4 linked regions of the Macaca fascicularis genome follow. The protein of the gene in region 3 interacts with the protein of the main gene of each other region in a pairwise test. Links are inferred from orthologs where the notes say so. Each region holds a gene or a part of one and is shown on either strand. Other genes may lie near its edges. The genes, in order: FAM114A1, TBC1D25, RAB2A and GARIN6.

Evidence for each region.
Region 1: the proteins of RAB2A (region 3) and FAM114A1 interact in binary tests that used the Homo sapiens proteins (3 or more experiments, as listed by UniProt). The two-hybrid records come from large-scale screens. The link is inferred for Macaca fascicularis from reciprocal best matches to the Homo sapiens genes RAB2A and FAM114A1.
Region 2: the proteins of RAB2A (region 3) and TBC1D25 interact in binary tests that used the Homo sapiens proteins (3 or more experiments, as listed by UniProt). The link is inferred for Macaca fascicularis from reciprocal best matches to the Homo sapiens genes RAB2A and TBC1D25.
Region 4: the proteins of RAB2A (region 3) and GARIN6 interact in binary tests that used the Homo sapiens proteins (3 or more experiments, as listed by UniProt). The two-hybrid records come from large-scale screens. The link is inferred for Macaca fascicularis from reciprocal best matches to the Homo sapiens genes RAB2A and GARIN6.

Annotation. Positions count from the first base shown.
Region 1 is NC_088379.1:38,159,628-38,165,750, reverse strand, and holds the start of FAM114A1 (protein NOXP20), read right to left. Parts: upstream 3,617-6,123; 5' UTR 3,560-3,616; intron 1-3,559. UniProt on the Homo sapiens protein: May play a role in neuronal cell development.
Region 2 is NC_088395.1:48,685,898-48,691,990, reverse strand, and holds the start of TBC1D25 (TBC1 domain family member 25), read right to left. Parts: upstream 4,170-6,093; 5' UTR 4,053-4,169; coding exon 3,930-4,052; intron 2,524-3,929; coding exon 2,414-2,523; intron 2,402-2,413; coding exon of another isoform or gene 2,344-2,401; intron 444-2,343; coding exon 351-443; intron 1-350. UniProt on the Homo sapiens protein: Acts as a GTPase-activating protein specific for RAB33B. Involved in the regulation of autophagosome maturation, the process in which autophagosomes fuse with endosomes and lysosomes.
Region 3 is NC_088382.1:70,468,339-70,474,445, reverse strand, and holds the start of RAB2A (ras-related protein Rab-2A), read right to left. Parts: upstream 3,912-6,107; 5' UTR 3,690-3,911; coding exon 3,644-3,689; intron 1-3,643.
Region 4 is NC_088385.1:106,654,368-106,660,345, reverse strand, and holds GARIN6 (Golgi-associated RAB2 interactor protein 6), read right to left. Parts: upstream 3,621-5,978; 5' UTR 3,204-3,620; coding exon 2,589-3,203; intron 2,090-2,588; coding exon 1,979-2,089; 3' UTR 1,330-1,978; downstream 1-1,329.

The sequences.
Region 1 (6,123 bases), on a different chromosome or scaffold from region 3:
TATGGATAATTTATAAATTTTAGAAATTCTAGATCTTTATATCTGTTAAATTTAAAAATGGTCATCGGTCAGGCACAGTGGCTCACATCCCAGCACTTTGGGAGGCCAAGGTAAGCGGATCACTTGAGGCCAGAGTTCCAGACCAGCCTGGCCAGCAGAGTGAAATCCTGTCTCTACCAAAAATACAAAAAAAATTAGCTGGGCATGGTGGCATGTGCCTGTAATCCCAGCTACTCTGCAGGCTGAGGCATAAGAATTGCTTGAACCTGGGGGGCAGAAGCTGCAGTGAGCCAAGATCGTGCCACTGCACTCCAGCCTGGGTGACACAGTAAGACCCCGACTCAAAAAAAAAAAAAAAAAAAAAAGCCCTAATTCAATTTCTAATTGTAAAAAAAAAAAAAAAAAAAGAAAGGGTCATGCAAGATCAGCCCTATTTCAATTTCTCATTTTTTGTTTGGTTGTTCTGGTAGACCTTTATCGACTGTGGATGCTATCATGATGGGGGAAATGTAATCATTTTTCAGTCTGTACCCTTTTGTATGAAACCACTAGAAACTGCGTGTTTGAAATACACAACTGTTTCTGAGCAGGGGCTGCTGGAGTCCACCAGGATTACAGTCGTGACAAGCACTGTGTTTCCTGGGACACTTTCCATCTCCATCTGGGTGTTCCATAAGCCAGACTTAGAAACCTTTCCTGATTTATGGTTAGGAAGATTGATCACTGTAGCCATGTCTCGTGGCCTGGAGGCTAAGGAGACTCAACCCACAGCAACAAGGAGGCTGCTTCAGGAAACTCTAAGGAGAGGAAGGGTCACATATAAAGAAGCCTTTGTGGGCTGGGAATAAGTTAGTTTTTCATGAGTAAATTCATTCATCACCGAAAATGCTCCCAGTACTATGCGAGGTATTGAAGCAGCAACATCCCAGCTCGAAAAATAAGTATAAAAAAAGTATGGTCACTATCCTTCAGAAATGAATCATCTGTTTGAGGAGTTAACACAAAACAGTTAAAAAGTGATGCAAAACAGCACAGCAAATCAAGGACAGATGTGCCTGAACTAGACTGACCCTGTGCAAAGGAGAACCTTGAAAGTGTCTTTGAAGTGGTAATTCAAGCCTGGTGGGATGAGAGCATGTGCAAATGTCCAAGCATTAGGGATGGACTCTAGCGATTCAGGACAGGTGTCTGAGAGGCCAGGACACGAGGCTGTGTGGGGAATAATGAGAGGTGAGAGCAATGGTATTCAGAGGTGGGAAGAGTTGTGCCCTGCAGGCGTTAAGAGATGTGGCCTGTGGTCCCAGCATCCTTTTGTGGGCACAGAACTTACTCATCCTCACTGCGCTTACACCTGCTCCTCTGTAAAGCTAGGATGGACAAACTGATTTGGATGCTTTTTTTCCAAACCCCACCTGCAGGACTGGGGCAAGTCTGTGATGATAGAGAAAAATGAGGACAAGATCGCAAGTTTTTCATAAATCTAAATTTATTAAATGTAAAAGACTGCCTTCATCTTGCAAGTTTAGCCTTTGTGCTTTTTCTTGGTATTGAAATGCCTTTCATTTTATGAAATAGTAGTGACAGTAGATGGATTTTTTTAAAAAAATGGCCTCAGTTGGCAGCATAAAAATTTGGTTAGCATGATATCCTGTGTGAGGTCATCTCCCCCAGTTTAAAAAAAAAAAAAGTGTTGGTCAGCGAAGGACCAGGAATAAAATCTCTGTATGAGAGGCTCTTAATCAGGTTGTAACAGTTTGTGTGAGTTTGTATAAGGCTTGACAAGTCTATGTACCCAGGCTTCAGCCTATTCTCTGTGTGACTGCCAGGCATTTTTGGACCTACTTCCTCCCCTGTTTAAAAACCATTAGGTGTAAATATCTTCGCACTTCCCATCATAATCCAGCTCCAATCTCTCTCCACCTCTTGCAACTCTCAGTGCCCTCCACTCCTGCCTCACCAGTCTTTTCTCCATTCCCCGTAACTCTTCACATCTCCCTGCCTTTGCTTATGTTGGTTCCTCTGCCCTGGTGCTGCCCTTCCTCCAGCTGCCTGGCAAACTCCTATTCCTCTAGATACCCAATGTCTAATGTTCTCTTTCATTGTGAATTTTTCCTTAATCTGCCCCACTCCTTCCAGTGAAATAACTGCTCCCTCTTCTACGTTTTTGGCACTTTGCACAGATTTCTATTGCATGTATTTATGGAGTATTTACTTCTGCCATTCTGTCCTCCAAGACTATGACCAACAGCATCTAGGTTCGTTTCTGTCCCTCAGATATTTACTGGATTGAAATATATTGTGTTCGATATTAATAAAAGAGAAACCAAGTTTGAGATAAGCCTGGTCAAATAAAGAAAGACAAGTTTACTTTTATGGTCTGAATCGCTCAGATTCAAGAAGGCCCCCTCCCACCCTCAAATTCCTTCTGCATTGGCTCACTTGTGCCTCAAATCCATCCCTAAAGTCTCATTCCTTCACTTAAAGGTTACAATGTAAGAAGTTTATCAGATTATTTCCCAAGCTCAGGCTTGATGGAAGAACGGAGGGAGGGGACACAGGCATAGGAGTGAGGTAGAGAAGCAGCCACTGGGCTGCAGAGAGGGCAAAAGAGGCTCCGAGGATAGAGGCTGTCTCATTCTCAGTTGTCACAGGTTGGCTGAGGTCACAGGGAGTTCAGAGGACACTGATTTAAAAAGCCACCTGCTTGTGTCCTTCAAGATGTTTAGGACGGGAACGGATGGGGTCAGCAGGGCATAGCTAATGCTCTCAGCCCGTGGATAGATGTCTTCCTACTTAGGAAAGGGCAGTGACATTGAGGCGCCTGGTCTGAGGTGCCTGGAAATACTCACCGGATGGCAGGGGCGAGGGCTAGCTGACTGGTTGGAGGGGGCCTGGGGAGCTGGGGTAGGGAGTGGGACTCATCCCGGGGGCTGCGAATGGAGGCGGTGCCTGTTTAGAGTGTTGGCTGGACTGGAAGAGCAGGCAGGGCGTGGGTCGGCTGCTGGAGGAGGGGTAAGGCGAGGGAGCGGGGAGGTCAAGGCCTGAGCTCCCTGTGCCAAGGCCGAGGGCAGGCGCACCCTGGGAAGAGGCCTCAGTCTTACAGGGACCTGCTCCCTCCGTGCCCGGGCTGGGGGGCCCTGCAGCCCGCCTCTGACTTGGCCCTGAGCCACTGAGGCACTTTTCCAGACTTGCTTGGTGCCAGGACTGGATAGTTTGGGAGATCCAGGCAGGCTCCGTGGAGGTTCACGCCGGCCGAGGGGGCAGACCCTGAGTGTGGGCGTGTGGGTGTGTGCATGAGCGTGGACCCGGAGCGACACACACTCACACACACACACTCACACGCCCGCACCCACGCAGGGCCCTCGGCCGCGCCACCCCGGACCCTCACCCCAGAGCCAGGTCCTCCCTGACCGCGGCTTCTCACTAACGCAGAGGGCAGGATTCGTGGGTCCCAGACGAGGCGCCACAGTATGGTGTTCCCACCACCCCGGGGCGGCCGCCCCCGCGCTCGCCCGCCCCCCGGGGAAGGGGATGGGGACAGGTTGCCCGGGGCTCTTACCGCTCAGGCGGCCGAGTACGCGCGGGAGTGCCCGGTGGGTCCCGCCCCGCCACGTCTGCAGGGCCGGCGGGGACGCGGCCGGAGGGCGGGCGGGGAGCGGGCAGGGGGCGGGCGGCTGGAGAGGGGGCCCCGCCCCGCCTGCGCCCCGCCCCACGGGGAGCGCCGCGGGGACGCCCGGCCACCCCCACGCTGCGAGGGGCAGGGCCCGCGCTGGGCGAGCCTCCTGGAAACTTGGTTTGTCCCACCCCTGTGCCAGCCCAGAGAACCAGAGCGCGCCCCCTGTCCAACCGAGGGCGGGTGAGTCTTGGGGTTCGCCAGATCCCTTTCCTTAAAAGCGCTTGGAAAACCCCCGCCGTGTCACTGGGAAGAGGTCGCGCAAGTTCAGATAAAGTTTGAGCTCCTGATTCTGCGTTAAGCAGCACTCCCTTGCCCTGTCCGTGGGAGTGTGATAGATTTAAAACAAACAAACCCCAAACAAACAGCGAAAACCCACTTTCCAGAAGGCCAGTTTGGAGCTGTGGGTCAAAATTCCGATGTATTAGCTTTGGCCTAGGAATTCCACATTTGCTAATTTGTCCTAAGTAGGCAGTCAAATGGGCAAACATGTATGTACAAGGATGTTTATTGTAGTTGCTTCTGTGGGGGGAAGCTGGAGACAATCTAAATGTCCCCCAGTAAGACTGGTGAAGTAAGCTACAGTAGCTTCAGACATCGAATATGTTGTAGCCCTTAAAAATGAGAATTCGTTGACATGGAAGGAAGGCCACATAGTAAGGCCTTCCTCAAATATGGCTTAATATGAACTCAGATGCAGAGGAAGTGCAGTGTTTACAGTATTAACTAGTTTTGTAAACAATTTTGTGTTTTATATAAAAGTCAGGGGAAAGACAATTTAAAAACAGTGATTCTTTGTGAGCGATGTGTTTAAGGCAGATTTTCTCTTCTTTCTCCCACTCCATACCCTCTTATTTTTAAAAAATTATAAATTCAAAGTTAAAGAAAATATAGCCTCACCCTCTCTTCTTCAATATCACTACCATTTCTTATAGTGTGTGGATCCTACCATAGCTTTTCTAAGCGTATATAAACACAAGTGTGCATAAACAGCTTTTTGTTTGCTTTTTTATAAAAATGGTGAGATGTTGACATATTTTGTAAATTTTCCCCTATTACATATTATAATCATCTTTCTTGGTCAATACATATCAACCAAAACCACTCTTCTAAGATTTGTCTTACATATTGTTATATGTTTGTAACTATATTTCATTCAATCATTCTCTTTTTGACAGACAATTAGGTTGTTACTTATATTCCAGTTTCTTCCATATACATTAATTAATTTATTACTTTATTTTTTTTGAGACGGAATCTTGCTCTGTCATCCAGGCGGGAATGCAGTGACATGATATCAGCTCACTGCAGCCTCTGCCTCCCGGGTTCAAGCAATTCTTCTGCCTCAGCCTCCCAAGTTGCTGGGATTACAGGTGCGTGCCACCACACCCGGCTAATTTTTGTATTTTTTAGTAGAAACGGAGTTTCACCATGTTGGCCAGGCTGGTCTCGAACTCCTAACCTCAGGTGATCCACCCACCTCAGCCTCCCAAAGTGCTGGGATTACAGGCATGAGCCACCGCGCCCAATTATATTTTTTCTTTAATTTTTCATTAAATATTTTCATATTAATAATTTTTTAAGCTACTGAATATTTATTTTATTATGTTTTTTAGGGTGACAGAGTCTTGATTTGTGGCCTAGGCTGCACTTCAGAGGCACCATCTCCATCTCCCGGGTTCAAGCGATTCTTCTGCCTCCCGAGTAGCTGAGATTACAGGCACCTGCCACCATGCCTGGCTAATTTTCGTGTTTTCAGTAGAGACTGGGTTTTGCCATGTTGGCAAGGCTGGTCTCGAGCTCCTGACCTCAAGTGATCTGCCCACCTCGGCCTCCCAAAGTGTTGGGATTACAGCCGTGAGCCACCATGCCCAGCCTGTTATTTTTAAATTCACAGAAAAACTAGAAAGTTGTCTTAATGTGAGAGTGGGTGGAAACTGCTTTAAATTGAGATCAATAGCCTTTTTGAATTGAGCAAGACTTTGAACGTTAACACTTGGCTTCTGTAACTCAGTTTTTCCACCTCTACAATCAATAGCATTGCTCTACACCATCCCTTCCAGTTCTGGTTTTGTGAGTATTATCAAATTACGTTCCACTTGCAACAGGTGTGTTTTGGTGTAGCATATACACAAACGTCTGTGACTGGCACTTCTGCTCCCGCCCAGAGACAGCAAGCACCTTTGCTAACCTGCCTTCCCTGCCCTGCTGAGCTGTAACAGCCCCATCAGATCTTCTCTTTTTAGAGGGCTGAGTTCATCTTCTCCTTTGACCCAAACCACACCTATTCGATGAAGAAAATAAACCAAACTATCCTGGCAACAAGTTTGTTTTTTGTTTAACCAACTGCAGATTTCGCCCTTTTACTCATGTAGCTGCTTCCAGGACTACCAGATTTTATTTCAGTTATTTTATTTGTATTGTAAAACATTTTAAGTTCATTTAAAATT
Region 2 (6,093 bases), on a different chromosome or scaffold from region 3:
GCTATACTTGTGCAACTATGTAGTTTGTTGCGTGATGCTCACCGTAACCATGGAAACATCCTAAATACCCAACAATTTTGTACTGTTTGAATTTCTTACCATGTGCATGTATTCCTCCAAAACCAGCACCACAACAAAATGACTATCACATCTGCCCCCAAAAGACACCACTTTTCAGTTATCAGATTAGCAAATTTTGCAGTTATACAGTAACCAGTGTTTGTGAGGGTGTGAGGGAAACAGGCATTTATGTGGTGCTGATGAGATCATAAACTGATAAAACCTGTCTGGAGAGCATTTTGGAAACACCCATTAAAAGTTTAAAAAGCAGGCCAGGCACGGTGACTCACGCCTGTAATTCCAGCACTTTGGGAGGCCGAGGCGGGTGGATCACAAGGTCAGGAGATGGAGATGATCCTGCCCAACACGGTGAAACCCCATCTCTATTAAAAACACAAAAATTAGCCAGGCATGGTGGCGCTACTCAGGAGGCTGAGGCAGGAGAATCGCTTGAACCCAGGAGGTGGAGGTTGCAATGAGCTGAGATCGCACCACTGCACTCCAGCCTGGGCGACAGAGTGAGACTCTGACTAAAAAAAAAAAAAAAAAAATTAAAATGCAAATACCCTTTTTCCTGACAATACCACTGCTAGGAATTTATCCCATGACTGGATGTTTCCAAATACATTACTCCCTCTTTATCTACAGGGGATATATTCCAAGACCCCCCAGTGGATGCCTGAAACTGCAGATAGTACCAAGACCTACATATACTATGTTTTTTTTTTTTCATATACATACATACCTATGAAAAAGTTTAATTGATAAATTAGGCACAGTAAGAGATGAACAATAATAGAACAATTATGACAATACAGATGCTTCTTGACTATGACAGGATTATGTACCAATAAACTCATCATAAGTTCATAAGTTGGAAATACTGTAAGTTGACCATGCATTTGGCTGGGCGCAGTGCCTCACCTGTAATCCCAGCACTTTGGGAGGCTGAGACGGGCAGATTGCTTGAGCTCAGGAGTTTGAGACTGCCCTAGGCAACATGGCGAAACCCTGTCTCTACTAAATATACAAAAATTGGCCGGGTGCAGAGGCTCATGCGCCTGTAATCCCAACACTTTGGGAGGCCGAGCTGGGCAGATCCCTTGAGGTCAGGAGTTCGAGACCAGTCTGACCAATATGATGAAAATTAGCTGAGTGTGGTGGCACACACCTGTAATCCCAGCTACTCGGGAGGCTGAGGCATGAGAATCGCTTGAACCTGGGAGGCAGAGGCTGCAGTAAGCCAAGATTGGGCACTGCACTCCAACCTGGGTGACAGAGTGAGACTCTGTCTCAAAAAAAAAAGAGAAGATCAAAAAACTATCCGGGGCTGGGAGTGGTGGCTCACACCTGTAATCCTAGCACTTTGGGAGGCCGAGGCGGACAGAAAACTTGAGGTCAGGTGTTCGAGACTAGCCTGACCAACATGGTGAAACCTTGTCTCTACTAAAAATACAAAAATTAGCCAGGCATGGTGGTGCGTGCCTGTAATCCCAGCTACTTGGGAGGCTGAGGCAGGATAATCACTTGAACCCAGGAAGTGGAGGCTGCAGTGAGCCGAGACTGCGCCATTGCACTGCAGTCCAGGGGATAAGAGCAAAACTTCGTCTAAAAAAAAAACCGTTATCCCGGCATAGTGGTGCACGCCTGTAGTCCCAGCTACTTGAGAGGCTGCGACAGGAGAATCACTTGAACCCGGGAGATGTCACTGCACTCCAGCCTGGGTGATAGTGAGACTCTGTCTCAAAAAAAAAAAAAAAAAGAAAAGAAAAGAAAAAAAAAAGAAAAATGCATTTAACACACCTAACCTACCAAACATCACAGGTTAGCCTAGCCTTCGTTAAACGTGCTCAGAACACTCACATTAGCCTACAGTTGGGCAAACTCATCTAACACAGAGCCTACTTTATAATAGTGTTGAATATTTCACGTAATTTATTGAACACTGTACTGAAAGTGAAAAGCAGAATGGCTTGCAGTACAGTCTCTACCAAATGCGTATCGCTTTTGCACCATTGTAAAGTTGAAAAATCCTAAGTCCAGTTATTGTAAGTTGGGGACTATCTGTAAACTGTAATAAAAGTAATGTGAATGTGGTCTCTCTCTCTCTCAAAATAACTTATTGTATGTAATATTTGCAGACTGAGGTTGACCATGGGTAACTGAAACTGCAGAAAGCAAAACCACAGATAAAAGTAGACTGCTGTACTCCAAGACATGCATATGTGGCTGTTCACTGTGGGATTATTTGTAGTAGTAAAATAAACACAAACCCTACCAAACAAACAAAGGCTAGATAACCACTGTAGAGGTGGGTGGCCCACTGGCCAGTCCCCAGCATCTTCCCACTCACCCACTCAAATCAAAGGCTCGGATGAGGATGTGCTGCAACACGTCAAGCGAGGTGATCTGGGGATCTACAGCAAAAGAGCGGAACTCTGGCGGTAAGAAGCTCTCACATTTCTGGGGAGAGAAGACATGGGGTAGGCCACCAGGGGCCTCATCACCATGCTGAAGAGTGAGGTGCAGAGTGGTAGAAGGCAAAGTCAGAGAGGTGCCAGGGGCCAGATCAAGGCAGGTGTTCTGGACCATAGGGTCCAGTGAGGAGGCGGCTACTGCAAGGGTTCAGGCCCCCAATCCTTCTTCTATATCCCTTCAACTGTGGTTGCCAGAATCACCATATCCAGTCTGGCTCCTGTTAAATCAGTCCTCTATGATGCTGTAACCAATCTAGCACATCTACCTACAACACTCTCCTGCTTAAATCTCTTCAATGGCAACCCTAGAGTCCCAGCAAGCGGGCCTATGGGGCCCCAGCCAGCCTCTCACCAGGTTTTTTGAACTTTATACTCTGGTAGTACCAAACTGTTAGAAGTTACCTTGAAACCATCCTGACTCCAGGCCATTGATTGTGCTGATCCCCTGTCTGGAACATCCCTCCCACTTTCTTCACGTGGTTCACTCCCAGCTCAGGCATCTTTTTTTCTGAATGTCAAACTTCTACCTTAGAGCTTTATTACACTGAAGTGATGTGTGGACCCTCTTATCACTGCCAGTGCCACTGGTTGGTTGGAGCCACCATCATTGTTTACGGAACTATGGCAACAGCGTTCTTCCTCAGCATATACACCAAAGGCCCTTGGCGATCTGCCTCTGTCTTAGCACTCTGATTCACCTCCTACCACTCTTCCCCTCATTCTCTCCACTCCAGCAATCAGGAACCTACGGGAACATGCCAGGCCCATTCCCATCCTCTAGCCTTTGCCCTTGCTATTCCTTCTGCCTAGAATACTCTTCCCTTCTAATATGCACATGGCTAACTCCTTTTATTCGGGTCTCTGCTCCTTCAGTACCTCCTCTGGGGATTTCCCTGTACAACCTTGGCTAAAGTGACTCCCTGTTGCATAACCTTTTTCATTATTTGAGTGTCCGAAGCATCTCATTTCTTTAGTTGTCTCCACCCACGAGCCTGTCAGTTCATCAAAGTGGGAACTTGCACATGAGTGCACTCTCGACACATACGGGTTGACTGACTCCAGAGCCAGCACCTTCTCATTCCTCAGAGCCCCACCCTCAACTACTGCGGCCCCTCCTCCAGCCCGTAGCCCCTCCCCTTTGTCTATAAGCTCCACCCATTTATCCCATAGACCCCCGTCTCTCCATTTTCAGTCCCACGCCCCAAGGTACGTCGCTAACGCTCCCAAGCTCTCAGGCCCTCCCTCCCCCTCGCCACCATCACTTGGCCCTCAAGCTTCGCCGCTCAGGTTTTGTCCCAAATCTCAGGTCCCGCTCTCCATCCTACGACAGCCACCGCCTCCCCCTCCCCTGGGATGCCTCGGCGCCTGGGCCGACTCACCCGCCAGCCTCACCTTGACTCGGACCCGCACCACCTCTCGCTCCTCCTCCTCAGCGGCCGCCGCCGCCTGAGCTCCCACGCCGGGCGGGGGCGCTCCGGAGCCAGACAAATCCGAAGCCCCGGAGGCTGTCGCCATCCCGCCGCCGCCCGTCTCAGGGTGACGGTTGACCGTTGCCCCCCAACCCGGCGCACACTCTACTGTACTGACGCCCGCCGCCCCACCTCGTGCCGGGGCGCAGGCGCAGAGGGCTCTGCGCGACCCTACCCCCCCACCGTCCCTCCCACCTGGCCCTGCCTGGAGGTCGCCTCTGCGCCTGCGCCTAGATGCTGTTGCCAGGAGCCCCGCCCCCAAAAGTCGGGCATTTTGCTTTATTTCAGCTAGCGTGAGGACGCCTACTGAGGCCCCGCCTCCCCCAGCCCCGTGGTTTGGTTGTTTTGACAGCCTACTTCCGGATTCATAGAGGTGTTATACTGACACCTCGTTCGCCAAGAGAAGTGGGCGGGGAAAGGAAGGGGCTGCGTGATGACGTCAGGCCCCATACCCCGCCTCAAGTTGCCTCACGCCTCTGCTAACAGATGATGTCATCTATTTCAAATTGGCCCTCGCTTCAAATGAATCCACTGAACGGGAAAGAAATCCTTTTTTTTTTTAAGGCAGGGTCTCGCTCTGTCACCTAGGCTGTAGTGCAATGGCGCGATCACAGCTCACTGCAGCCTCAAAGTGAGCTATGATCAAGCTATCCTCCTGCCTTAGCCTCCCGAGAGCTGGGACTACAGGAGCGCGCTACCACACACAGCCAATTTTTGTGTATCTTGTAGAGAGAGGGTTTAGTCTTGTTGCCCAGGCTAGTCTCGAACTCCTGACCTCAGGTGATCCGCCCATCTTGACCTCCCAAAGTGTTGGGATTACAGGTGTGAGCCATAGCCCCTAGTTAAAGTGTTTTAAAAAATATACTCAGCAGGGTGCAGTGGCTCACGTCTCAGCACTTTGGGAGGCCGAGGCGGGCAGATCTCTTGAGCCCAGGAGTTCTAGACAGCGAGACTCTGTCTCTTAACAAAAAATTAAACAATTAGCTGGACGTGGTGGCGCACACCTGCAGTCCCAGCTACTCGGGAGGCTGAAGCAGCAGGATAGCTGAGCCCAGGAAGTCAAGGCTGCAGTGAGCCCTGCTCACACCACTGCCCTAACCTGCACCACAGGGCAAAGCCCTGTCTCAAACAAAAATTAATAATTTACACCCTGACTTAGTAAGGTCAGACAAAAAACAGGAAAATGGTTTACACATTGTGAAAATTCATAGAGATTTTGTACACTGATGATTTTTGTACTTCCTGTATGAATGTTACACTTCATTAAATAATTTACCCCCCAAAAAAACTTTTATGCTCTTTGGAGTTCTAGCTTTGGTTTGCCTTTGTCTGAAACTTGACGAGATCATATTTTCCCAAGTTTATACAACTAGGAGGCAAACTTCCAGGTAATTCAACTCCAGTTGACACTAATGCTTCTAACTGAAACCCAGGAAGAAGTTAACAATCAAGACTTCAGAAGGCAGAAAGCGAGACAGACCCAGGGAGCTCAGAAGCATATCTCTAAAGCTCTGCCATTATTGAACCAGTTCAAAGGATCCCTGGTCTTTATGTCCCTTTTCCAAGTTTCACATTCTCAGATCTTGGAGAATCAGTGAATCATTGGAAGAGCCCTCTCTCCAGCTTGGTCTAGAGATTTATTTGAAACCTGACTAAAATGTTGGTACTGACTGCCAGGGACGCATTGAAAGAGAAGTGGCCAGGCTCAACTACAAACCAACCAATGGAGCCCAAATGATACCATCTGTAAAAGATCAGCTTTCTGGGGTCCCAGAGCAGGGTGGATAACGGATCTGGAAGAGCAAATGGGGAATGCCCAGCAGAGCATGCAAAAGGCTTAGCAATGTGCTGAGCACATAGTTAGTGCTCAAAACAATGAATGCAAGAAGCCAATAATAAATGAAGAAAAAATTTTAAAAATAAACTGAGTCAGGCACAGTGGCTCACACTTGTAATCTCAGCATTTTGGGAAGCCGAGGTGGGAGGATTGCTCGAGCCGGGGAGTTCGAGACCAGCCTGGGCAACACAGGAAGACCCTGTCCCTACGAAATTAAAAAAAAAAAAAAAAAAAAAAAATTAGCTGGGTG
Region 3 (6,107 bases):
TAAAATAAAATAAAATGTAAGCGGTGGGTATATACATAAGACAGAAAAATAAATAAAAAATAAAATGTAAGTGGGACTGGGACTGAAGAGAGGCGAAACAGAATGAGGGAACAGAGGAGGGGACCAGCATAAAATGCAACAGGGAGTGGTAGGATTTGTTAAAATCTCAAAAGAATGGATAAAAAGGAGTTGGCCAGGTGACAAAAATCTTTGACATAACTTTTTTTGATAGGGAAAAACAAGAAAGGGTGCTTCAGATATTAACAGAAATAAGAACGCAACCAAATTTGTGCCTTTGTTTACCTTGCTGAGCATTGAGCGGCAGGGAGGGTTATTGATAAGGTTAAAATGCTAGGCAGATGCTAGAGTTTCAGGTGCAAAAATTACTATAGGTTTGTATTTTTTCTCTCCTTTTATGCTTGAAAATTAACTGCTTATTAAATAAATAACGGCTTATTAAAAACCACTTTCCACTTTACATCTAGATTTAAATGACACATTTTACTAAATGACTCAGAAACAAGACAGGAACAAGGAAACAATTTAAAGCTACATTTTAACTGCATTTAGTCTTACAGTAAGAAAACAACTCAATAGTATCATCATGATCATGTAAAAGTTTTTAAAACCTCTTCTACTAAGGAGGGAACTCTGTAAAGGAAAAATGTGCATTGTTCCTTTCCCTTGAGAAATCAAAGTACTTTCACATTTATCCTCATTTTATCTCACATACTGAGAGAAGGTTATAGGTTAGGGAAACAGGGAAACAGAAAAATTAAGTGATTTCCTTCATTCTAAGATGCATGTTTTTGACCCTGACTTTTTAAAAAATCAAGGTGGATCTCACATTACTGATTTTAAAGCCATCTTTTCTAGGGGAGGGCCACACTGAGTGTATCTTACAACTATGGGTATCCTCTGAATTCAAAAAATATGATAAAGGATTTTGCCCAAATTAATAAGCAAGAAAGTGGCAGAACTGGGTAAAAACAACAACAACAACAAAAAATCTCTGTTAAGCTATTTATACAAACAGGAATATAGCAGCCTGTTTGGCTCCTCTCTTATTAATTAAATATACAGGGCCTACCTTTCACTAGGCTCTTCCTGAAAGAAACACAGAGCCATACATAACACCTTTTCTGCCTTCAAGAAGTATATAATGATGCCTACATAATAGAGATGCCTATACAAATATCTATAAAACAAAAAAGTCTGGGATCAATATCAGAAGAATGACAGAGTGAGAAACATAAATTCAAAAAAGGAGTAGTCACTTTTCAGCCAGGATACTGTGAAAATCTTCACACAATAAGAGCTTAATATATGTTGACTGTGAAGGCATTTTGGAAAACTCAGATAAGACTTTGAAGGACTGATGGATTTTCCACAGGGAGAGATTGTGCCAGAAAGCACTCTAAGAATAGAGAGTAGCAGGGCCCAGGAAAAAAAACACCGAAATCAGCCACGGGGTCTCAAATGGCAGAAGCAAGGTGGGGAATAGTGGGAAAGAAGGCTAGAAATGTAGATAGGGGCTAAAATACAGAGTTCACTGAAGGTCAAACAAAAAATTGTGAGCAAACGGGAGTAGCCTTTTGACATTCATGCTTCAGGAAGACTAAACTGACAGTAAACTACACTGGCTGAACTGGAGTGGGGAGAAGTACTGCTGCAGACAACACAGTGTCAAGAATTCCATTCCTGAACTAGGTCGTATCAGCAGCAATGACAAGAAAGAAGTGTCTTCCCTTCGAACTGCGTGGGGACTGCTTTTGGATAAGAGCAAATTCCAAGAGAACAGAGCATTAACTTGTTAGGATTTGTAGCCCCACTACTCCCTGCACAATACTTTATTTACCCACAGTAGAGCCTCAAATAAAAAACTGAAAAATGGCAATCAGCAAAGTCTGATTTGAATCTTCACCACTAATGAGATAGCCAAAAGGCCATAGTCACAAGCTTCTATTTCTCAAACCCAGTAATATTACAGTTAATGTGGCATTCCTCTCCAATCTTGTTTTTACAGACTAAATCAAATTTTGCCAGAAGGCTTTAGAATTCTCCTTCCTTCATCCAAATACACCACAGCATTTTTCTTTTAAAGTTTATAAATCCAATTTCAACACACACACACACACACACACACACACACACACACACACACCAGAAAACCTTGCTGAAAACTCATTTATCTAGCATAAAGTTTTTCTTTCAGGCAGCAATCAACATGCCTTTTTTTTTTTTTTGAGACGGAGTCTCTGTGTCGCCCAGCCTGGAGTGCAGTGGCGCGATCTCGGCTCACTGCAACCTCCACCTCCCGGGCTCAAGTGATCCTCCTGCCTCAGCCTCCCAAGTGGCTGGTATTACAGGGGCCCGCCACCACGCCCGGCTAACTTTTGTACTTTTAGTAGAGACGAGGTTTCACCATGTTGGCCAAGCAGGTCTCGAACTCCTGACCTCACCTCAGGTGATCCCCCACCTCGGCCTCCAAAAGTGCTAGGATTACAGGCGTGAGCCACCGCGTCCGGCCAACATGCTCATTTAGTTACTTATAGAGCCTGCCACATCATTAGTTCAACTACAAACTGCTGCTTACATTACCAAAGTTGTGCAAAGGCTCCAAAGTTGTGCAAGAGTAACCACTGAAATCAGACTCTGGTATATTAATAGTTGCAACATCTAAACAATCTTTATGTTTATTATTAGATTCAAAGTAATGCCAAATCACAGGTATTAAAAATATTTACGAAGAGTTTGTTTACGTTTCTGTGGAATACACTAGGATGTCATTTTAAGTGAGAATAACTGAATTTCTTTCTGCTTCAAATGGGCATGAGCTCACCTGAAAATTAGCAGTTGACACCGAACCTGACATATCTAAAACAGCAGCGTCCCCAACAGACATACGTAAGTACACACCCAGAGCACTGAACGACTTTATATTACTATTAAATAACCCCAGTTCACACGTGGCAAAAGTGCACAGAACTCGTTCATGCTTTCCTAACCCCGAAAGGGATTCTTCAGCCGTCAAGTAATAAGACGTGACTTACTCCGCCTTGAGAGTTAAAAGTGTTAAAAAAGCACATATATGTATATATTATATATATTTTAAAGCTTTCCTTTTCTCCTTCTCAGCTGTCTGTCCCACACCAAAAAGCGCCTTGCCCAGGCCTTGACAGATGCGTGCAGGTGGAGGAAGGTTGTTACTGGTCAGGAACTAAGACCCGGGTCCCAACACCTTCTGCTCGCCTAGGATTCCCTTTTTCTTTCTTCTGGGGCCGCGAAGAGACCTAACGCGAGGGGCCCTGGGGGTGGGGTGCAGTCATGTGAGTCGGGCCCCGGCGGCCCTGCGCTAGGCCTCCCCTCCTGTCACACACTTCCTGAATCGAGTGTCGCAAACGGCTGCCGCGGCCCTCGGCTGCAAGACTGGCCCGGTCGGGGGCCGCAGACCGGGCCTGGCCAGGCCGCGGCCGCTCGCAGTGCCCACGTCACCAGCTCCAGCACTGCGGAAATGGAGCGGCGCGGCCGGGAGGGAGGCGCCGGGTGGAGTCCGCGTCCCCGCCACCGCCAGACGCCGTTTGCCTCTCAGTCCGGGTCCGGAGGCCGCCGACACTCGCCCGACCGCGCCCGGGGCCCTCACCTGTGTCGCCGATTATGATGTACTTGAAGAGATAGGCGTACGCCATGGCCGCGGCCGCTCAGTGCCAGGGCACACGGCTCCTCCTCCCGCTACTGCTCCTCCTCCGCGCCCCTAACCCCGGCGCCGCTCAGCCTCGAAACGCCAGGCTCCGCCCGCCGCCGCCGCCGCTGCTGTCAGCCGCCGGGAGTGAGGGGCTGTGAGGTAGCCGGACGAACTGACACCCGCAGAGCCGAAGGAGACAGCGCCCGACCGAGCCCAGCCGAACAATAACAGCCACCGCGGCACCTCCGCCCCGCCTCCGCGTCGACCCGGAAGTGCTGCGGCCGCCGGCGCCGCCGGAGGAAGGGGGAGGAGCCCCGCACGCTGGCCGCGCCCCGGCGGCCGCAGCACCGCCCCGCACCGAGCAGGAGTTACTCGGTCCGCTCTGTCCCTAGGCAAGGCGAGTCCGGGCTCTGGTCTTTCCGCGACGTTTGAGCGGGCGAGCCCGGCGGCCAGGAGACGCCGGGAACGGGACTGGTGGGGATGCAGAGGCTAGGTTCTGTCGCCTTCCGCCCTGCGGTGGGGGCGCGGGGCACGTGGGGGGACGGCAGAGGCGGTGTTCGGTGCAGGGCCCCGCCCTGGGCTGCTGAAAATGTGTGTGAAAATGTGGGAGGCACACGGCGAGGGGGTGGGGGTGAGGTGTTATTTCTGTGTTTGGCATCGGGGCTTGAAGGTGAAAAATGGCAGTATTTATAAATGGGAAACCGTAAATCTGGGACTGCGAAGTAAATCATGGTATGCGCATACAGTGGAGTACTACGTTGCTCTCTCCTGAGGTCAGGAGTTCGAGACCAACTTGGCCAACATGGCGAAACCGCGTCTCTTCTAAAAATACAAAAATTAGCCGGGCGTGGTGGCGCTCGCCTGTAATCCCAGCTACTCGGGAGCCTGAGGCAGGAGAATCACTTGAACCCGGGAGGTGGAGGTTGTAGTGAGCCGAGATTGCACCACTGCACTCCAGCCTGGGCTACAGAGCGGGACTCTGTCTCAAAATAATAATAGTAAATAAAAATGAATAAAGCCTCTGGATCTGTCCTGGTTTTGAGGGCTGCTCAAAAAAAAAAAGCCTGATTTAGGTTAAGGAAAACCGAGACAGTCTGTATATGTGTGTGTATATAACATGCACCATATGTAATATATGAATTGTATACAATTTTTATGTGTAACAAATAGTGGGAAAACATTTACATTCCTATATATGCATAATCAATCTGAAAGGAAAGGTAACTGGTATTAAGAGAAAGGAGGGAATGGAATTGGGGGGAAAAATGTACTTTTCCCTGAATTTTTTTGTGCAGTTTGATGCTTTTTGCAGTGTTCATGAGTTACCTATTAAGAAATACTGTTAAAGGAAAAAACAAAATGACTATGCATTCGAGTAATAGTTATTGAATACTATGTTTCGTGTACTGCCAGGCATAGCAACTAGAGGCCCTGCATTTCTATGTTCTGTTTTTCTACTTTCCTTTTTAAATCATCCAGCCCAAAATGTCACCACTCTGTTCAAAAAGAGCACAGGTTATGGAAGAGGAGGTGGAGAATAGAGTGTCAGGAAAGATTACTTAGAGATTATGATTTCTGAGCCAGGAATATGAATGATGTATTGAGTTTCTCAAAAGAACAGCAGTTTGGGGAAGGGAACCAAAGTTTATGGACAAGGAACAGAATGTGCAAAATTCCGGGATCTGTTGAGAGAATTTGAAGTTGCGGAAGGAATCTAATTGACTAACTCATATCCTCATAACCCATAACCTCATATGGAAGGAGAATCATTGCTGGGGAAAAGTGATTGGGATTTAGTGGCCCTGGTTCCTTTTGCCTAATACTCTTCTCTTTGGGGCCTCTCATTATATAATTAGTACTGACACCATCATGCTGGGTAGATGTGGAGAGTTGCTGTGTGCTTTGGTTGGCCTTGCCAAATATGAACTCACAAGGTTTTTCTGGAATATTTGGAAGGCATTTTACTAAAGGGTGAGGAGGGATGGCATGGAAGAATTTGACATGAAAAGCTACCTGGAATCGCAAAATTTGGTTCATTCACCTTTAGTTTGAGGAAGGGGAGGTCCCTGCCCAAGGCCTCCAGGTTTCAGATGTCATTTTGTCCCTCCCACTTGAGTGCCTTCACCCACGTCTTCCTGGGTGATAGAGGAGAAACTCAAGTCTTCACTCTCACAAGATAGAGGGACATGGCCTTCCTTCACCAACAGCCTCAACTGGACAACGCTGTCAGGATGTCACACAAATGCCTGGCATCCTAGGAGTCAGGAGTATTCTTGCATTGTTAGAGGAGGAGAGTACCTGGAGAGGTCTCTTGTGCCAGGTTATGCAGGGCCTTGTATGTTATGTCACCATGCATTTAGAACTTTACCCAGTAGACACAAGGGAAATTGTGACAGGAAACAGGGTCAGAACTGGGTATGTA
Region 4 (5,978 bases), on a different chromosome or scaffold from region 3:
ATTTGCTGAAAAGTGATTTATGATTAGATGTGATTTCTCAGTAATGTAACCTTGAAATTCACAAAGCTAGAACATCTAACCTGTGAAATGTTTTTCATATTTTGAAGCCATTTTTTCAGGTCTGAAGCACTTTTGGAGACCATTAAAAATCATTAAGCCATGAACGCTGTGAGGGTCTACTGGTAAACTGCTTCCTTACAATATATATAGGAACCTTTGGGATCTGTACCATTAGTACAGTACTATGTAAAATTTTATATCCCCAGATTTGTTGGATTGGAATAAATTATATTTCGCATTTATAGCCCTTGATTGGATCCAGCAAACATGTATCAAATATCTTTTATATTCAAAGCATAGTGCTCATCAGAAACATGAGTATTACAGAAACAATACAGACTTAATTGGGGGCCAGGTTGCCTATACATTCTGGTTCTGGATTATCAAACCATATGAGGTATTACTTTAGACTAAAGCAGATTTTTTACTTGCAAAATTAGAATATTGGCTAATCCCGTGGATGTGGATCTTACAATTCTAAAATTATCTAATTTCCAGTTTTTTCCAGATTATGAATTGATCCTATATTAGGTGTTCTTTTATTTTTCTGTCTCCAAGAATAGTAAAATTGGAGAGAATCAGCTAAAAGATGAGTGCTTTGAAATTGTCTTTCTGTTGTGACTAGATTGAAGTTTGTACAAATTCATGAAAATTTAGAATTCTAAATAATATCAGGGGATTAAAATTCTTGGGAAGATACTAAGAAGATTTACTGTAAATAGAGCTTTTATGGGACAATTGCAAAGCAGTTAATTAAGATTTAAGAAAGGAAATCAAGAGTGAAAAGACTGGGAAAATTAAGCCCTTTCTGGAAAGTATGATTAAACTCAGAATTTGTTTCTCAACACCACCATTTACACAGTGCCTACTATGTACCAGATATTATACATGTATAATCTCAAGGTGACCATTTAAAGAAACAGTCTACTAAAGGTCACAGTTAATGTGTGGCAATGCTATGATTCAAACCGGGAGCAAGAGAGAGAAAGAGAGAGGGAGACAGAGTGTGTGTGTGTTTCTGGGTTCTCATTTTATATTTTGGAAAATAGTTTTAGAAGAATTCTTCTGATGTAGGATCATATCTTTGAGAGTAATCTTCAACATTTTATTCTGTCATCTATTAATTTTATGTCATCTATTTATCTTTTATAATAAAAAATGTAAAGTTAAGGGAAAGTTAAAGATAGTTTTCAGAGCCTGATCATAAATTGCTATTAGTTTTATTGCTACCCTTCCTGTCAATAGAGCATATGTTATTAGAGCAGATAATATGAGTTGATGGATTTTATTATGGTGAATCATGTTCCTCCCCTCCACAGTCTTAGGTGAGATGTCCACCTCTGCACCATGTGTAGTACCAGACTTTGAGGTTATTACTGCAGAGTCAATCCAGCTAGGTAGAGACCCTCTGACTTCCATCCCATTCACTCATGTGGCCTCATCCTGCAGAGTTGAGATACTGACTCCCAATGCTGAGTGGCAGAGAGTCAGTCTTTGAGGAGCAGAGAGAGACTGACAAGGCTGTTGCATTGACAGTCTCTCTCTGCTCCTGTAGTCACCACATTCATGCTGCTCTCTAGGGAGAGGCCAGTAGCACTTACTGATGTACTTGAAGTACTCTTTTAGGACAAGAATGTCTATGCAGCCCTTGCTATAACAAGATTAAGACATAGAAGCACCCACGATAGCCATGCTGGCTATACTTCCTCCTGGACCTTTGAAGGCTGCTTTTGCCAGTGCTGTGTTTCTCTTCTGAGCCTGCAGACTTGGTTGCAGCCACATCCATGGCACCTGCGGTGGTGCTTACTGTCATCACTACTGTTGTTGCTAACCTGCCCCTTTATCAGGCACTATAGGTTTTATGACTGCAGGAATGTGTGAACTCTTGAATGTAGTATATGTGGGAGGTATGTTGGATTCATATCTCTATTGTATAATCATAATAGGTGGACCCAAACATTTCAGCATTCATGTGAAGTCTGCTGATTCTGAATTGCTCCTTCTCTTCACAGAACTTCATGGCATATCCCTAGGGAGAAAACAAATAAGCAAAGAAAGTGAGACCAGCAAGATCTCCTTTCTCTTCCTATAGGTAAACAACAAAAATAAAGTATTGCACATGTACACAAGCATGTTGTGTTGCCACCAATGTATATAAGTGGCAATCGCAGGGAGACATGTCCTACAACATATCAGCCTACCTAGGTCATAGTATGGGTTTCAGAATAGACTGGTCAGGATGTTTTGGATAGCATTACAACATTGGATATAGAATGAACAGCTGTGAATATAAAATGAAAAGTTGCTGACAGCTAAGAAATCTCTGAAATTCAGGTTTGGGGAACACTGGAGAAGCACTAGGAACCTCCTCAATGTGCCATGGCCTCCAAATGGAAGCTCATTTGGCCTTCAGACCTTCCAAATGCAATGCATTTCCCAGGTGAGCTGCAACACCAAAGGCTCTACAGGACCTTTACCTGCTCTCCCCAAAAGCATCCTGGCCCCATCTAGTCTCTGCATAGACTCACCACTGGGCTTCTCTGCACTTCCTCAAACACAGATGAGTCTGATGTGCTCCCAGCTAGGATAGCTTTGGTACCACTGTAAGCCTCCACTGGTGGTCTCAGGATGTAAACAAGGTTTTCCCAGTGAACAAAAAGGTCTTCACTTGCATCTGAGGGGGGACACAGCTGAAGATAAAAAGAGCGGCCAGTGGCAAGCTTCAGGTGGAGCTGTTTTTTTATGCTGTTGTGGATGGTTATTTTCACAAACATCAAGGGAAGCAGTCTGGTTAGTTCTAAGATCTCTGCAGGCGGACTATCTGTTTTCTGGGTGGCAGGACCACACCTGGCGTTGTCACAGACAGCAGCTGGTCGGGCCAGCAGCATGACATCAGGTAGTGTGAGGCAGGGGCTGGTGCGAACAATGCCCACTGTTACCATTCGGGCACGGTTGTGCACATCCATCACTTCTCCTCTTTTGCTGATCTGGATAAAGTCGCTCTCAAACATGGGTGCATACCTGAATATAGTATACTCGCCTTTGTACAGTTGCCGCTGAAGCTTCCCCATGGAGGTATTAAACATGCCCATTGCGGGGCTGCTTTGGGCAGTGTAATACGGTAACATACACTGCTCCTCCATGTCTTTCTTTTATCAAGACAGTTCCCAGCAGCTGCTCCACACCTTCCTTAACATGCCTTAGTGAGCATCCTGTTTCCTTGGCCACTCTGGCAGGTGGGCCAGCAGTTGTGTTCTACAGGCTTTCTTTTTTGTCCCCAAATGACTCAGAACAGGGTGGGGTATTGATTGCCAACTGCTCAATGCCAGAGACAGTTGGTCCCCTGGATCCAGACTGTGCCCTGTTTAGTGCATGGAGCTGTCAGGAGCGCAGATGTTGGAGCCCTCGTGGATATCCAGGCACACAGATGTCAGTGCTCATTTGGGAGGGACTTCCATTTGAGCCTGATATTCCACTTCACAACAACCTTTGCTCTTTGATTCCACAACCTGAACTGGCAGTCCCACTGCTCTTCTTCCCAACCTGAACCATCCGCTGCTGCTAAACCACCCTGCAGGACCACTTTTATCCTCCTCTACCCATTGTGACCTGCCCCATCACACACCCCTTTGTTTCTGTCACCCAACAGCCCCTACCTCAGGGCAGGGACACCACCCTCTCCACCCCACCCTCAGCCCCACCACTCTCCACAGCTCAGCAGACCACTCTCCCCGACCCTCCACCCATCTGGGGACCTTAATGCATTCTGGCAATTTGCTTTCAAAAAGATTAGAGGTAAATTTTCTGTGAGAAGCAAGACTTTAATATACATTCTCTGTCAACTCTTTTATCCAGCTCCTCTAGTCGTAGACATTTATTTTAAAGAGAGAATTGAATACATTGGTAAACACGTTAGTACAGGATGTTTATCAATGTTTATTGTAGAGTAAAAAATTGTAAACAGCATTAGTGTCTTACAATAGGGGATTGCTTAAATAAATTATGGAGCCTTCTGTGATGGGACAGTCTACAGCCCTAAAAATGATTATGTGGTTTTCCTATTTATTGACATGAAAAGATATCCCTAACCTTTTTTTTTTTCTTAAAGAAAAAGAGAAAAACTGATTTCAAACTCATAGTATAGGTGAGATTCAATTTATGTAAGACCATGTGTATGTGTTTGTGGGTATGGAATTATGTTCAGTGAAATGTTTAAAGTTCTTAGGTGTAACTTTCATTTTCTTTATAATTTCTATTTTTATTGGGAAGTTTATTTCTGTTACCAGGTAAAAAGCTATTTTATTAGCAATTTTTTTTTTCTGTTTCTACAGCCATGATAAATTTTATGTTTTGACTCACCCTCAAACTGTTGATGCAATTTTTAAGCTTTTACCTAGACATTTGTACCCTGGCTATGGAGTGAAAAGAGCCTTAAACATCACATTTATGCTCTATTCTTTACCATCAGATTGTATTGAAAAAAAAAGCTCTAAAGAATTTTGCCAGGTATTATAAATATTATCAATTTAATAAGATTATAATATCTTTATTGAAAACAATCCACATAATAACCCATATGAACATACACACACACACACACACACACACACACATATACACACACACAGCCATAGCCATAGTTGAGTCTTTTTTTTTTTTTGAGATGGAGTCTTACTCTGCCACCCAGACTAGAGTTAGTGGCGAGATCTTGGCTCACTGCAATCTCTGCCTCCTGGGTTCAAGTGATTCTCCTGCCTCAACCTTCTGAGTAACTGGGACTACAGGCACATGCCACCATGCCAGGCTAATTTGTATTTTTAGTAGAGACAGGGTTTTACCATATTGGGTTTTACCATATTGCCCAGGCTGGTCTTTTTTTTTTTTTTTTTTTTTTTTTGAGACGGAGTCTGGCTCTGTTGCCCAGGCTGGAGTGCAGTGGCCGGATCTCAGCTCACTGCAAGCCCCGCCTCCCGGGTTCACGCCATTCTCCTGCCTCAGCCTCCCGAGTAGCTGGGAGTACAGGCGCCCGCCACCTCGCCCGGCTAATTTTTTTTGTATTTTAGTAGAGACGGGGTTTCACCGTGTTAGCCAGGATGGTCTCGATCTCCTGAACTCGTGATTCGCCCGTCTCGGCCTCCCAAAGGCCCAGGCTGGTCTTAAACTCCTGACCTCGTGATTCGCCCACCTCGGCCTCCCAAAGTGCTGGGATTACAGGTGTGAGCCGCCGTGCCCAGCCCACTTGAGTCTTTAGTTGTATAAGTCAATGCAAACATAATTTCTGCCTTTCTTATTGAAATGTGTGATTATTTTGGATACTTGGAGTATTTTTATTTTATTTATTGAGATGCCTATTCACATATCAATAGCACTTTTTACTGGCCTTCCTAAAGTCTTTATATCTTAACTTCCACTTCAAGTCTATGTTACTTATCTTGTAATTGGCAAAAATCAAGCCACCAAATACATATTTAGTAAATTAACATTTTAAAAGTATCCAAGTGGTTCTGGTGTTTTTCGTAAGGGACAACTGGATAGGTAGTATTGGACACAGCAAAATTTAACTTAAGTGCTTTTTTTTTACTGATTTTTAAAAAAGCTCTTTCATGCTATACACATATATGACAAGATATTTGTCTTAGGGTTCCATTAGAGCACTGGTCTCCAAGGAAGCCAGAAACTACATTACTTGTAGAGCCTATAGACGTTTGGATTTTCCACACCAGTCAGTAGACTGACAACAGTGGAACCTCTTTCATTTGGCTTGATAACCATCCTATGTAGCATTCTGGCAAATATCTATTTTAATGAATTTGATGGGGTTTGTCTGAAATTCCTCTAGCTGTTTAGAAAACCACCTTTTTAGCATTTGCCTCAAGACTTGAGAAGCTCAGATAGCTAAATAAAAAACTACCTGAAAA